Linked DNA regions of Pelodiscus sinensis. The main gene of each other region encodes a partner of the protein of the gene in region 2 in a complex. Links are inferred from orthologs where the notes say so. Each region holds a gene or a part of one and is shown on either strand. Other genes may lie near its edges.

Region 1 (7,778 bases), on a different chromosome or scaffold from region 2:
TATGTTGCATGTGAGTCTTACACCAACACTGTGTGTACCTCAGTTTCCCTGGGTACTGCACCAAGGCCCAGGTGCTAGAACTGAGAGAGACTTTTACTGAGGCCCTTGGACACACGAGTCTGCGCAGCTACCTGCACACACAAGGTTGTGCCAGAGCCCTTGGTGCCTGAGGCCCAAGAAGGGATGCAAGTAGGACAAACACCAGAGAGGACGCAATGCAGGGCAGCAGCTGGAACAGGGTCAGTCTCAGCTGGCTTCAAGCAGAACAGCTCTGAACTAGGGATGTTAAATGTCGTTAATTGAATAGTCGAGTAACCTGAATTCTTATTGGTTACTCGACTATTCTGTAGCCCCTGGGGGCGGGGCTGGCAGCCAGTGCGCTCTGGCCTCACTCTTGAGGAGCCCCCGCCACGCTGCGCTGCTGTCACTGTATCAGAGGGAGCAGCACAGGGTTGCCAGGCGGGAGCTGGTCCACGAGGGGAGCCAGTTTAAAACCCACCCCCCCTCACGGATCGGCTGCCTATCGCCCTGCGCTGCTGTCTCTGATAGAGGCGCAGCAGCGCAAGGTGGCAGCAGCCCCTGTCACGGGGGCCTGAGCTCCCGGACCCAGAACAAGACGGATCTGAGCCGAGCTGCCTGCCCACCTGGATCCTAATACACTTTAAATGCAGAGCCGCAGTGGGGGTAGGTCCCGGACCTGGTGTGAGCCAGGACTAAGATGGGCTGCTGGCCAGTCTGCTAAAAAATTGACTGCCGGGGCGGGGTGGGGGTGGAGATGAGTGTAATCTATAGCATTAACCTATCAGCTTTTGCTTGTTGGTTACTCGACTCCACTGTTACAGCCTTACTCTGCAGTATGCCCCTGGTGACTGGGACAGAGGGGCTCGGAGAAGGGCAGGGCAGGAGCTTAGCCTTGGGGAAAAGGCAGGACAAAGATGTTCACTCGTGTGGGATTAGAAAGTTGGCAACCCTCCAATGAACTGAAGAAAGGGACACAAACTGGGAGAAGCCTGCTGGGAAGGATCCAGATTACTAGGAAGCTGCTTGCTACTCCACCATAGGAATGTTAAGATGTGGTGAACTGGCTAATCAAGTAGTTAGTAGAATTTGTATTGATTAGTCAGTAAGGGAAGGCAGCCCGGCTCAGTTCTGGCTCGCACCGGTTCGGGACCTACCCCTACTGCAACTTTGCAATGTAAACGTATTAACACAGGGGTGGGCTATAATTTTTGCAGGGGGGGGTCACTTAATGAATTTTGGTATGTGGTCATGTGTTGGCTCCATGCCTGGAAGGGGTGGGGTGGGACCTGGGGTGGAAGAGTGCGGGGCTGAGGACTAGCCTTCCCCCCTCCCAGAATTGTCTGGGGCCAGGGGCTTTGAATTAAACACACAGTGAAAAGCTCCTGGCTTCGCTGCCTGTGGTTGCTGCAGCTATTTAAAGGGCTCACGGCTCTGGCCCCTGCTGGGGTAGCGCCATGGTTGGGAGCCGGAAGCCAGCTCAATAGGATCCTGCTGCCTGAGCCACCGCCTGGAAATTCAGGGGCACAGGCAGCAGGATATGAATAGAAAGAGGCCAGTCTGCAGGCCGGGGAGCAGGAGTCAGTGCTGGGGGGAGCTGGCTTAAAAGCCAGTTCCCCCCAGCACCATCTCTGTGGGGGCAGGGGAGGTAAGGCACAGCAGGAAACGGCGCAAGCGGAGACTGAAGCACTCTCTGCTCCCACTGGTTCTGCTGTGATCATGCAGGCCTTCCGCTTTTGAACTGTAGCAAGAGCCGGCAGTTCCAAGGTGGAGGCGCCCTTATCGACTACTCGAGTAGTCAATGGAAATCCCATCTGAATTTAACATCCCTCCTGCCCACCTGGCTCTTAGTACATTTAAGCTTCAGAGCTGCAGCAGAGGTAGGTCCCGGACCCAGCGTGAGCCAGGACTGAGTTGGGCTGCCCCGAACAGGGGCTGCTTTGCTGCAGCAGCCCGCATCTGCAGGGAGTGCCAGGGGACAGGGGCAGCTGCTGGAGCAGCCTATGCCCATGGTGGGCCTGGGCTCGCTGCAGACAGAGGCTGCTTTTGCAGCAGCCTTCCCTTGACCCCACCCCACGCTGCTGCCTCTTACAGAGGCAGCAGCATGGAGTGTGTGGGCAGGCGGCACCATGAAGAAGGTGCTGGGGGAGAGGAACCAGCTTTTAAGCTGGCTACCACCAGCACCAGCTCCCCATCTCTTGCTGCCTCAGATACAGAGGCAGCAATGGGGGGGGGGGATGCAAGTAGTTGAATACTTGCTTACATCTCTACTCCATAACCCACAGTGCTTCTCCCAGCCTTAGTCCCACAACCTCCTAATGAGAGGCACTGAGTTCAGGAAGCAACCAATCCCCCTGCTGCAATAAGGTCTCCAACTCCTCGGAGGGCCTCAGGACATGCAGCAGACTTCAGTGTAACCCTTGCTCCTACCCCCCACCCCCCGAACACCTCAGGGTCCCAGCTTCCTCCTAGTAAGTACCTGACTTCCACCTCCGGCTTGTTGTGTCTCTCCACCACCTGGGAGGAGAAGTTCTCCAGGCATAGGGCAGCCTGCAGGGTGGCGCGCACCGCATTCAGGTAGGGGCGCAGAGTGGCAGTCTGGGGAGAGTAGGGAAATCAGAACAAGGGCAAGAGCCCGGACTCCCCCTCGCTCCTCACCCCTCTTCCCCCTCCCCCCATTCCCCTCCGCACCCCACCCCCTCCCCCCATTCCCCCCCGCACCCCACCCCCTCCCCCTCCGCACCCCCCATTCCCCTCCGCACCCCCCCTCCCCCTCCCTCCACCCCCTCCGCACCCCCCATTCCCCTCCACCCCCTCCCCCTCCCCACCTACCATACTGGCAGCTTCGCTCGTCCAGTTCTCCCGGAAGCGGAAGCGGACGTGGCGAGCTCAGGCGGCTCCTCTCTTCCGGGATGGGCGGCCGTTCCATTATCGCCCGCGGGGGTGGCTCGTTCGAGCCTCCGTCCTTCCTGTCCAGAATGGGACCGGCCGCGCCGACCCCTCCCACCGCCAGTCCGCGAGGGGGGCGCTCGGTTGCCGCCGCCCCGCTGTGAGCGCCGGGCTCCTCACCCCCCGGCCCGCACTTGGTACGTTCCCGCCGCCGCTTCCATATTAGGCAACGGCGCGCGAGCCTAGGGGGCGTGGCCAGGGCCAGGGCCGCCCTGGGCGAGCGACGGGGGCCGGAAGGGGCGTGAGAGGTGCCTGGCTGCCGGAAGTGCCCCCCCGCGCCGTGTCAGTGGTAGCGGCGAGCGGCCCCCGCCCCCGCCGGAGGCCCGGCCCGTGTGTCAGCGCCCGCCGGCGGCGCCCCGTAAGCGGCCCCCCGCCCCCCCCCGGAGCCCCCCCGGAACCCCCCCGCCCAGCGGCCCCCCGCCCCTCTAGCCCGGCGGGGCCCCTCCCCGCCCAGCGGCCCCCCGCCCCTCTAGCCCGGCGGGGCCCCCCCCCCCGGCAGCCTCCCGCCCCTCTAGCCCGGCGGGGCCCCCCCCCCCGGCAGCCTCCCGCCCCTCTAGCCCGGCGGGGCCCCCCCCCCGGCAGCCTCCCGCCCCTCTAGCCCGGCGGGGCCCCCCCCCCGGCAGCCTCCCGCCCCTCTAGCCCGGCCGGGACCCCCCCCCCCGGCAGCCCCCCGCCCCTCTAGCCCGGCGGGGCCCCCCCCCCCTGGCAGCCTCCCGCCCCTCTAGCCCGGCCGGGACCCCCCCCCGGCAGCCCCCCGCCCCCTCTAGCCCGGCGGGGCCCCCCCCCCGGCAGCCTCCCGCCCCTCTAGCCCGGCGGGGCCCCCCCCCCGGCAGCCTCCCGCCCCTCTAGCCCGGCGGGGGCCCCCCCCCCCGGCAGCCTCCCGCCCCTCTAGCCCGGCGGGGCCCCCCCCCCGGCAGCCTCCCGCACCTCTAGCCCGGCGGGGCCCCCCCCCCTGGCAGCCCCCCGCCCCTCTAGCCCGGCGGGCCCCCCCCCTGGCAGCCCCCCGCCCCTCTAGCCCGGCGGGGCCCCCCCCCCGGCAGCCTCCCGCCCCTCTAGCCCGGCGGGGCCCCCCCCCGGCAGCCTCCCGCCCCTCTAGCCCGGCCGGGGCCCCCCGCCCCTCTAGCCCGGCGGGGGCCCCCCCCCCCCGGCAGCCCCCCGCCCCTCTAGCCCGGCGGGGCCCCCCCCCCCGGCAGCCCCCCCGCCCCTCTAGCCCGGCGGGGCCCCCCCCCCCGGCAGCCCCCCGCCCCTCTAGCCCGGCGGGGCCCCCCCCCCCGGCAGCCCCCCGCCCCTCTAGCCCGGCGGGGGCCCCCCCCCCCCGGCAGCCCCCCCGCCCCTCTAGCCCGGCGGGCCCCCCCCCCCCCGGCAGCCCCCGCCCCTCTAGCCCGGCGGGCCCCCCCCCCCCGGCAGCCCCCCGCCCCTCTAGCCCGGCGGGGCCCCCCCCCCGGCAGCCCCCCGCCCCTCTAGCCCGGCGGGGGCCCCCCCCCCGGCAGCCCCCCGCCCCTCTAGCCCGGCGGGGCCCCCCCCCCCCGGCAGCCCCCCGCCTCTCTAGCCCGGCGGGGCCCCCCCCCGGCAGCCCCCCGCCTCTCTAGCCCGGCGGGGCCCCCCCCCCGGCAGCCCCCCGCCTCTCTAGCCCGGCGGGGCCCCCCCCGCAGCGCCCGCCCCTCCAGCCCGGCTCCCCACGATGAGCGAGCTGAAGGACTGCCCGCTGCAGTTCCACGACTTCAAGTCGGTGGAGCACCCGAAGGCCTGCCCGCGCTACACGGCCGTGCTGGCCCGCTCAGAGGACGATGGCATCGGCATCGAGGAGCTTGACACGCTGCAGCTGGAGCTGGAGACGCTCTTGTCCTCGGCCAGCCGCAGGCTGCGGGTGCTGGAGGCCGAGACGCAGGTCAGGCTCCCCAGCTCCTGGGGCGGCGGCTGGAGTCCATCCGTTTGCCAAGGCCTGTCGGGGCCCAGGAGGGCAGGGCAGCCCCCCAATGCAAAGCTGCCCCCTTTGCGCACCGCCATTGGGGATTTGCCCATTCCGTGGTGCCGGCGCTGGACGGGCTGGCCCAGTGGGAATTGCACCACGGCAGTGAAATGGGAGGGGTGGTCCTTCCGCTGGTGGGGCTGAGCCGGGGCCGTGGCCAGGCCCTGTGCTATGCAGGACTCAGGCTGCATGAGGAACGCCCTGTGGGCCGAACAGGCTGGCTGCAGCATAGGCCTGCAGCAGGGTCCCCGCTCTGCGGGTTGGCCTGGCAACGAGGCCTCCTGGCTTGTGTCCTCTGTCCCTGGAATTGCTCCATACGGTGGGGAGCGCCAGGTTGGCCTAGGGATCCAGGTCCCCTCCGCCGCGGCACAACCCTGCTTGCTGCAGCCTGGCACCTCCTTCCCTTCCTTTCTTCTCCTCAGTGCTCCCTGAGCTTGAGGGGAGCCAGCCCAGGAGAAGGCGCCTGAGGGGACGGGCTGCGCCATGGTTGTTATAGGGAAGGGGCGGGGGATCCATAAAGAGCAGACAGTGCTCAACAAGGGCAAGGGGTTCAGTGGGAACTAGACCCTCTGCTTCCCCCAACTGGTTCTTGGCCGCACCCCTGGGGTGCCACTGAGGTGATGCTGAGCCGTGGGGGGCTGTGCCCCTGAGGTGATGCTGAGCCGTGGGGGGCTGTGCCCCTGAGGTGATGCTGAGCCGTTCTCTTTCAGATTTTGACCGACTGGCAGGACAAGAGGGGGACAAGCGGTTCCTGAAGCTGGGCAAGGAGCATGAACTGGTACCCCCGTGAAACATGGAAAGCCCAAGAAGCAGAAGCTAGAGGGGAAGGGTGGGCATGGCACAGGGCCTGGCCCAGGGCGGCCCAAATCCAAGAACCTCCAGCCCAAGATTCAAGAATATGAGTTTCCGGACGACCCTGTGGACGTGCCTCGGATCCCCAAAAATGACGCCCCAAATAGGTATGGAGGGGTCCAGCTGGGGCCGTGGGGGTTCCCAAGGAAACGACCTCATTTGCCTGGTGAGCAAAGCCCCCAGATGCAGGGCAAGGAGCAGTCGGGTCTCACCGCACTGTCCTCGGGCACGGAGCCCATCACCTGGGCACAGGGCAGCCACGCTCAGGTCAGCAGCTCTGCCCTTCCCTCTGCCGGCAGGTTCTGGGCCTCCGTTGAGCCCTACTGTGCTGACCTCACCAGCGAGGAGGTGCGGACCCTGGAGGAGCTGCTCAGGACCCCGGAGGATGAGGCTGAGCACTACAAGGTAAACACTGCAGCCCCGTGCCCACTCTGGGCGAGCGCTAGCCACAGAGACATCCTCCCCCGGCTCCAGGGGGTGCCGTGCCGTGAGGCACTCTCTGGTCCGTGTGGGGCGACTCGGGCGGAGGGCCCAGACTGACAGGTGGCTGGATACTCTGGGGTGTCTTGCTCTCCGTAAGCCCTGTGCTGCTGGGGCAGCAAAGCCGGTTACCCTGGGCTGGGCGTGCCGTGGAACAACAGCACCCATGTTCCTTTCATTTCCAGGCAGAAGTGATTCAGGCCCTGGGTATTTGGAAACTTGTCCCCTGCTCCAACACTTGGGCCTCCCGCTGCTTTCCAGGCCTAGTCCAATTGCCTGCTGCAGTGGGGCAGGAGACAGCAGCCTCCTTGCAGGCCAGCCCCATGCAGAGTGAGCCAGACCCCTGCATGTGGTGGGCTGCACCTTCCTTAGCCCTCTTTATCAGCAGCAGCGTGGGGCAAGAGGCAGCCGGTCCGCGAGGGGAGCTTGTTTTTAAACTGGCTCCCCCCATGGACCAGCTCCCGCCTGGCGCCCCATGCTGCTCCCTCTGATACAGCGGCTGCCGCCCTGCCCCCGGGGACTTCAGACCAGTCGACTCACCGATAGGTGTTTGTGAGGTTACTTGACTGGTCAACGAACCGATCTCGAACATCCCTGGAACAGACACCCTGCAAGGCGGTTCCTGTTAACTGCCACATGACAGTGCCTCTTCGTCTGCTTCATGCAGCTCCTGAAGTGGCACCTGGAGCTCCCGTTCGGAGGCCACTCCTGGGCAGCTGGTGCTTGGCATAGACTGGCACTCCCCGGGGGTGGCAGAGGCCTGTCCCACACACCCAGCAGCCCCACCTCTCAGGCAGACAGGCACATGCTGGCTGCTCTGCAGGAGAGCCGGGGCCCCTTCACCGAGTGGCTGAGACTCGGGTGAGACCTTGTGGGAAGCAGAAATCCAGAGGGCCAGGACCCCTCTGCCCCAAGTGCAGGAGTGAGAAAGCTCGTGCTGTCAGCTCCTGCCAGGAAGGCTGCAGCTGGCACCCCAGGTCCCAAGCTGGTCCCTTGGCATGTGCTGTGCTGTCAGCCACACCAGGGCTGTGCCGAAGGAGACGCTCCCCGTTCTTGTGTGCAGGGGCCGACCTCTGGCCAATTGCCCTGTGGTTCCTCCCGTCACCTGACAGCAGGCCGAGGGAGACCCCCAGCCCTCTGCCCTCTACCTTGGGAGGGTAAGGGCCGGGGCCACAGGCAGGCATTGCTGAAGGTGGGGCCCTCACAGGACATGCACCAGCTCCCTGCAGAGCCTGCTGGCACTATGTTATGCCCGGGGTGGGTGCAGGGTGCACACAGCCCTTCCCTGCCGCGGGGAGGTGCTGAGCCAGCTCCCTGTGCACTGTTGCAGATCCCGCCTCTGGGGAAGCATTACTCCCAGCGCTGGGCCCAGGAAGATCTGCTGGAAGAGCAGAAGGATGGAGCCCGGGCGGCAGCCGCTGCTGACAAAAAGAAAGGCGCACTGGGCCCGCTGACAGAGCTGGACACCAAAGGTTCCTCTGCGCCAGCATCGGGGGGCCATGGGGGGGGG
Region 2 (7,058 bases):
ACCAGTCAGTGTGTAACTCAGGTGTTCATAACTCTGAGGCTTCACTTTACATGCTTTTTGCAAGAGAACTGTTGGTTAATTTATAATCTGGTAGCATGTGCCAGCCCCAACCCATGTAGGGACCAAGTTAGGGAACGAGATCCAGCTCATGTTTCATCTGTTTTGTTCTGTCACTTAGTTTTGCTGTAGGAGTTAACTGTGTTCAATACAAAATAGTGTAGTAGTTACTGATAAACATTTTTCTCTCTCAAGACCTTAGAGTCCTCTATTCAAGGTCTACGAATCATGTAAAGATGGATCTCCGTTATCTAGCATGACAGACTGCTTGACAGCATGCCGCTCCAGCAACCGCACAGACCTGAAAAGGGATGAGCAAGCTGGAACATTTGGAAGCACTGAGAAGATATGGCTTGGCAGATTTTCTTTAAAATACGTATTTGGTGAAATGTGTTGGTTTCAAAATCAGCTGTGATTGTCTTTTTCATTTTGATTGGTTGTTTCATTCCATTCTTTACCAAAGCTGCTCCATTAGTAGTATATTGCAGGACGTTATGGATCACTAACTTAAAAGGGGAATTTTATGTAAATTGTCTGCTAGAAATAAAAGATACAGAATGTGTTTGTAGTTTGGCTTCTTGTTAATGATCTAATCAGTAGTGAGTCCATAGGAAAGGAAAACACCTTTAATATGCCCTATATCAAGAGGATGAAGTTAATCTTCTCATCTAAAAGCTCTTTCCATCCAGACTTCTGAAAGAAAAGCCTGGTCATGGAAAGTAGTAATTTTAGATGAGGGAGACTTGTCTCAGTGATTATTTCCAGAGTGATTAGTCCTGTCTGTCTTAGCAGTTAACAAAGATTAATAGTAGCAAATTAAAACTGAAAGTCTTCTCATTATCAGCTCAGACTTGGTTTGCTAAAGGCAAATTAAATGACTTGGATTATCTGTAATGCTTTGAGGCTTGCACTGAGCACCACCTCAAATAGCATTAGCTCAAAGTATCTATGATATGGGATGGAGACCACATAATGGAGTTGAAACATAATTAATGTTGAGCTAGAGTCTAAGAGGACAAGTGAGACAATGACCTTAGCATGGTGTATACAATTCTAGTTTATTATGATGACTGGAGGATGCAGATTGTTTAGCAGCACAGAGAGCATGGACCAGCTTCTCCAAAGACTTTAAAAAGTAATGTGGGACTGGTCATACTTGCTGGAGTTCTTTTGAGTCCCTGATAACTCAGAAGCAGTTATGAATAACTGTCCATATGGCCATGTAAGGTGATTGTCGAATCTTAATGCATGCCTTGAGGTTGGCAGTGCATTAGAGAGGATTATCTGGCTAAGAGCAGTTTGCATTGCCTCATGTCAGAACGTTGCATTTTAAACACAAAAAATGAAGGGGAAAAAAAACTTACCCAATGCCTATATTTACCACTTCCTCTAAACCAGTATATAACTTGATACACTGCTTCCCTTTGACTCTTTGAAAAAGGGGGTGAGGGGGAGCCCACAAGGCATTGTCTCTTTTGCATGTCTAAAAACAACCTACCTACAACTCCCAGGCAGATCTTTTTTCAGGTAAGGGGTCTATGAAACAGAAAAATGATGATTTTCCAATTCCTCTTCTGCTTCTGGTTTCCAGAAGTGGGGGAGGGAAGTCACTGTTTTGCAGTTTTTCCTTCATCTGAAGGGCATGGATTTATTGGGACTGAAAGGAAACTCTCGTTCAACATTTAGTGCCGTGATCTGCAAAGTATCATGGTTGATTTCATCCATAATGCATGTCGCTTCCTTGTATATTCTACCTAAGTCTCTGTGCTTGAAACGGTAGTGAATTAAACCTCTTCCTCTGCTATTGCATAGGTATTATCTCCCTCTTGCAGACAAGCCTTTCAGAGCTAGGAAAACATCCCTCTAGCTAAAACCTGTCACAAGAAGCTACTGGAGACGACAAAAGAGTGATGGAGTCAGGGAATGTATTGCCATGAATACACAACTTTTTTCAAACAATTTAGGAAAAATTAAATGATCCATTCCAAACCAAGCAAAACTGTAACAGTGGAATGTTCCAAGCTATCTATAGTTGGACAAGTGTTACATACGTAAATCCTCTGGAAAAGGAGGTGGGGAAGTCAGTTAACAACTCTTTTGGCTTCTCACTTCTGGAGAAGACAAACTCCAGAGGAGCCTGACTCAGCCCTGGTGCAGGGGGACAGCAGCATGAGGAGGCAGGGAATGCGTGTAGTTGACCAGATTAACCAATAAGCCTGGGCTTATTGGTTAATCGTGTAGTTGTTTACACAGTGACATCCCTAGTGCTCACTAATCCTCCTGTTTAAGATGATCCTCTTCTGCTGCCTCTTCTATGTGGAGAGTCTTAACAGGGGGAAGCAAACCTGCAAAGTTGCTTTTAACAAATACAGGTTGGTCAACACCGGCCCCAATCCTGCTGACCTCGAGGCTCTCCTCCTCCCACTGAGCTTCCCTGCTGGCTGCCAGCCACCTCTGCTACTGGGCTTCCAGTCCCGTTACGGCTACTGGCCCTCCTGCCACCAGCCCAGAAGGGCTCCCAACCCCAGTAGAGCTGCTGGCCTTGCAGGGCTTCCAGCCACTGTCCCCCATGCTGTCAGACTCCCAGGTGCTGGGGCCCTCTGATACAGAAATGTCTGATCCATTCAACCTATCCCCTGCCCCGAACCCATTTGTTTGAAGCAAAGAGTCTTGTTGTGGGAAGTGTTTTGGCTTAATTTAATTTCTGCCAGCAAAAGTAACCATACGAGGAAGCTGCACCCGGCCTGCTGCATTCCGTGTGTCAGCTGGTGTGGTTTGAGCGGAAACACATTTTAAAATACATATCTTTGGAGCAGGCCAAATTAGAACGCTCAGTTTAAAAGATCTGTATTAGGACCTGGCTCATCAGTTTTGTTTAAGAAGAGCCAAGCCCAGCCCCATATACACTCACTTGTGGTCCTGAAGGTATCCAGTGCCTTAATTGCCCCTGGAGGCATCAGTGAGTAGCGGGGCTTTGTGACAAAGCTGGAAATAGATCCTAGGAGTCCTGAGACCAGTCCTAGACAGCAGAGCCTGCTTACTCTCTTGCAGGGGCTACATTTTCATCCGACTTTGGAGAAACACAAGATCACTGCAAGAGCTGCACATGTTCAGCAGCCATGGCTCTGTCCTGGTTAATTACACCGCAGCTCGATAGCAGCCACGCCTCTGCCTGCAGCAAAGAGGAAGTCCTATCACTGATACAGGACACTGCTGGGTTTGCCTTCTGAGCTTTCTGTGTTCAGTCAGATAAGTGTCCTTACCACAGACATGACGCTGACCTATAATTAATTCACAGCCTGGACACGCAGGAGCGGTGAGATCTAGGGGAGGCCTTCCGCCAGCTGAACGTCTGAACTGCAGCTTGGAGAGGAGACTCTTTGTTCTGCAGTGAAGTAAACCCATGCTCTCTGCCAGGGCTCTCTGATCAGTGGTCGTATTCTTGTGCGGTCCAGCCCACTGCTTACAATGAAAGAGTCAATACACTGATGGACCCAGGAAGGGATCCCTGGCAGAGCAGCTTGAGAGGGGCACTGCTGAGATGACAGCTTCTAGCCCAGGAGTAGCTTGAAGGGAGGATGGGCTTGGCTGGAGGAAATGATATCCACAGGGTAGGAAATCAAGCCACTGTTAATTAACTACTTTTGGCTCTGCAAAGACTGTAGCAGGTGCATTGTTAGCCAAGTCCCCCACTGAGGGACAAGGCGTGGTTACACCCACCAGCTTGCCTTGGAGGCTTTTGCATCTCTCCCCTCAAAACTATCCTCTTGCCTGATTTTAAGAGTTTCTTGCCAGACCATCCTCTGTTACCTTCAGCCCTAAAGCCTCCTGCTTAGACTAGGGCCGCTCTGGGAACACCACTCCTTACATGCTGCAGGAATCCGGACTATCCAGTTAAGCAAGAAATCTAGGATAGGCCAGGAAAGGTAAATCTTGAAGCATTTTTGGGTCGGGCCTTTGTGCAGCTATTTCAGCTACTTATCCTCCCCTCAGCAATGCCCGGGATATTAACTCTGCACACTTCTCCAGAGATTTACAAAGGTTAGTCACCCTGTCTGCTATGGTGCCGGTTGCCTTAGAAATATGTATTGGTAAATAGTCAACCCATTCCTTGTGTGAGGAAACTAAGTAAACTGTTGGGTGCCTGCTTAAGAGTAACTATGACAATCCTGGTTTTAGGCAGTGTAGGTGGAACTTGGTAATAACTTGTTCCGGTAATATTGTTTACTGGACCAGCGTCTGTGAATGAGTTTTTGCCCAGAAGCCATAAGCTGGCCCTACCATGGAAGTAGTAGGAAAAAAACCTCTTAGTTTACTGTGAGCATTTGACCATGGTTGTGTATAGTCACTGTCACTGTTTCTTCCTTGCTAAAGTGACACTGGAAAAGAAAAGGGGAGGGGTTGAATTTGAACACAGAAACCCACTTCCTCAATTATTAGTAGCATTTTAAAACCCCTTCAGGCCACGGTTTGCAACAGGGCAGGAACGGGGCTGGCTGAGCCCAGACCAAAAGTATCTTTAAAGCAGGGGTGGGAAACCTATAGCCTCAGTGGGGGAGGATCCGGCCCCCAGCTTGCCTGAATTTGGCCCCTGAGGCCCAGGACTCTACCCACTCAACATCAGGGAGCTGGCACTGGCGCTCCAAGCCTGTAGCCCCCTGCGCTTCTCTCTGTAGGGCTGAAGTGCCTGCCTCCTGCCCAACCCCCTTTCCCCCCACCTCCAGCCTGATCCTGCACCCTCCCAGCCCCGCTGACCTCTATCACATTCCTATGCCCTCCCTCCTACCCACACCCCAAGCCCACTTCCTGGCAGCCCCCTCCCAGACACAACCCCACATTTTTGGCCCCCCACAATCTCCTAGCCTGGGCCTCCCTAGACAGTGATGTGTGAGGGGAATGTGGAGAGTCTTTTTCTGCTTCTGACTCTTAAGTGGCTACACAAATGCTCAACTTACAGGGAACACTGCTCAGCTGTGGCCGTTGCCGTGGCAAAGTGGAAGTCTGTGGTTCTTCATTATTTTGCTTTTAAGGTGTAATTTATAGAGAAAGGGGAGACTTCCCTCCTACACCGTAGCCACGTTTTGCCAGCAACACTGGTCCCCAGGAGCCACTAAGAGTGCAAGGAGCTAGCCCCTCCTTGTCCAGCAGGGGGCTGTTCCACTGCAGGCCACGAGCAGGCTGTCTCTGCGCCCTGCTCCTTCCCCCAGTGCCACCAGGTCTGTGCCACCAGGTCTGTACGCTTGTGGCAGCTGGACTGGAAGTCGGGGTGAAGCTCAGTGCTGCTCTAATCTGGTGGTGGGTAGGGTTGCCAGATGGTTGAAACAAAAATACTGAACACCCCTACCCCCAAAAAAAAACACTGGGAAAAAATTCTGTTGAAGGGGGGAAAAAAAGAGGGGGGGAGACCAAAGTTGTTGAGCCCCCCCCAAAAAAGGACTCCAAGGACTTGAGCCAAAAAAAAAAAATTCTAATAAAACAGTGTGTCCCCTTTAAGAGTGAGTGCAGGGGTAGGAATAGGGGAGCGGGTGAGCACTAACATCCAGAGGAAAGTATTGCTTCCCCTAGGTCTTTTGGCTGGCAGCCATTTTGTGCTGGCAGCCTTGGGGAATCAGGTAAGCATGGGGGTCGGAGGAGCTGGGAGTGTTGGGGGCCAGAGGGAGGTTCGGGGCAGGGAGGAGGCTGGGTGCTGAGTGTTTGTAGGGTTGCCAGGTGCCCGGCATTTTCGCTTCCTGGCTGGGGAAAAATTCAGAAAATACCGGACATCTCAGGTGCCTGGTATTCTCTGAATTTTTTTTACCGGACAGGAGGTGAAAATACCGGACTGTCCGGGTGAATACCAGACACCTGGGAACCCTAGTGGTGGGGCGCTCGCTGAACTAGGCCTCAGCAGCCCAAGCTTTGTTGAGATGCAAACGACCTCCCCCGTGTCCCTATGCCACACTCTGAGCTGGCCTAGGGAGCAATCTGACCCACAACCCTGAATCATAACATTGGGTTAGCAAAGCGCCACGGCTTCTCTTTAACTCTGTGGCGCAGCGGCATTGCCTGCCAGGAGCCGGATTCCCATCTCATGCACCAGTTTTGTGGCGTCACTCCCTGGGGCTCCTCCTGTGCGTAAGGGCGAGTCGGGCCCTGCGAGCACGGTTGAGCCCACCAGGAAAGCAGTGTCATGGTGCCATACTGAGAAGCCAAGCGTGAGGGACATTTTTGACCCTCCTTCCTCTCTGCAACCTGCCAGTACGGGAAAGACGTAAATAGGCCTCAGACTCAGTTGGGATACACTGGGCTGGCGTGCCAGAGCGGGGCGAGCAGTCAGTATTTTGCTCAGAAGAAAGAGTGGATATTTGTCATTGTGAGGACGCTTTGGGTCTGATCCTGCACACGCTTCAGCAGGGCCGCTCACAAGAGCGGTTACTCGCCAATCTCATGTCAAGACTCTTACTCCCAGGCGTCAGGAAACACGGGGTTGGGTCTTCACAGCCACCAGCCTATCCCTTCTAGCTATGAAACTGTCCAACTGAGGGGGAGGCAAAGCAGAATCTTTCCCTGCCTCTGCCTCTTCCCTTCGGCCTTTCGCAGCCAAGTCTCCTCATGAAGCCAGGCACCTCGACTCTGCCAGGTTTGTGGGCCAGATGCGAACGCAACCGGTTGCTGAGCGTAGCAGCGATCCCCTGAGCTCCAAAGGCATCTGCCAAGCTGTAGCGAGGAAGTTCCGGCACTTCCACGTGTCGGCCTCAGAGCCTTGCAGACAGGCCTGGAGACCGGAGGAAGACAGCCCAAGCCTGCTGCGGCGGCTGCTTCTGCTGGAGGCAGCCTGTGCAGCGTTCTGCAGTCCCCAACGCCCACGCAAGGAAGTGGTTACATTTCTCAGAGAGGAAAAGGGAAGTCAGGCTGCTTCAGAGCGAAAACTCCACTTCTGCCTTTCACTCCGGGCTGGTTCGGCTGCCGTTCGTGTCGACTGCCCAGAGTCCATGAACTAGCAGACCCGCCTCGGAGGGAGG

The links. Proteins that work in one complex are often made in the same cells at the same time.
Region 1: the proteins of ARPC1B (region 2) and ARPC4 are in contact, whole or in part, in a cryo-EM structure (PDB 6YW6), measured with the Homo sapiens proteins. The link is inferred for Pelodiscus sinensis from reciprocal best matches to the Homo sapiens genes ARPC1B and ARPC4. Residues at the interface, in NP_005711.1 of Homo sapiens: Glu9, Pro10, Asn28, Gln54, Thr72, Arg74, Asn96, Arg97, Ala98, Arg100, Ser143, Thr144, Cys162, Trp204, His206, Leu245, Pro246, His263, Ala319, Gly320, Lys326, Asn327, Ser328, Met350; in NP_005709.1 of Homo sapiens: Gln17, Cys21, Leu22, Glu23, Asn24, Phe25, Ser26, Ser27, Gln28, Val29, Glu31, Arg32, Glu45, Leu46, Leu48, Glu124, Gln125, Tyr127, Lys128, His129.

The regions. Positions count from the first base shown.
Region 1 is NW_027465905.1:101,108-108,885, forward strand, and holds the start of ARPC4 (actin-related protein 2/3 complex subunit 4), read right to left. Parts: upstream 3,009-7,778; 5' UTR 2,854-3,008; coding exon 2,851-2,853; intron 2,617-2,850; coding exon 2,498-2,616; intron 1-2,497. UniProt on the Homo sapiens protein: Actin-binding component of the Arp2/3 complex, a multiprotein complex that mediates actin polymerization upon stimulation by nucleation-promoting factor (NPF).
Region 2 is NC_134726.1:31,969,209-31,976,266, forward strand, and holds the start of ARPC1B (actin-related protein 2/3 complex subunit 1B), read left to right. Parts: upstream 1-4,048; 5' UTR 4,049-4,098; intron 4,099-6,654; exon of another isoform or gene 6,655-7,058. Other genes in the region: ARPC1A (actin-related protein 2/3 complex subunit 1A), read left to right, coding at 253-259. UniProt on the Homo sapiens protein: Component of the Arp2/3 complex, a multiprotein complex that mediates actin polymerization upon stimulation by nucleation-promoting factor (NPF).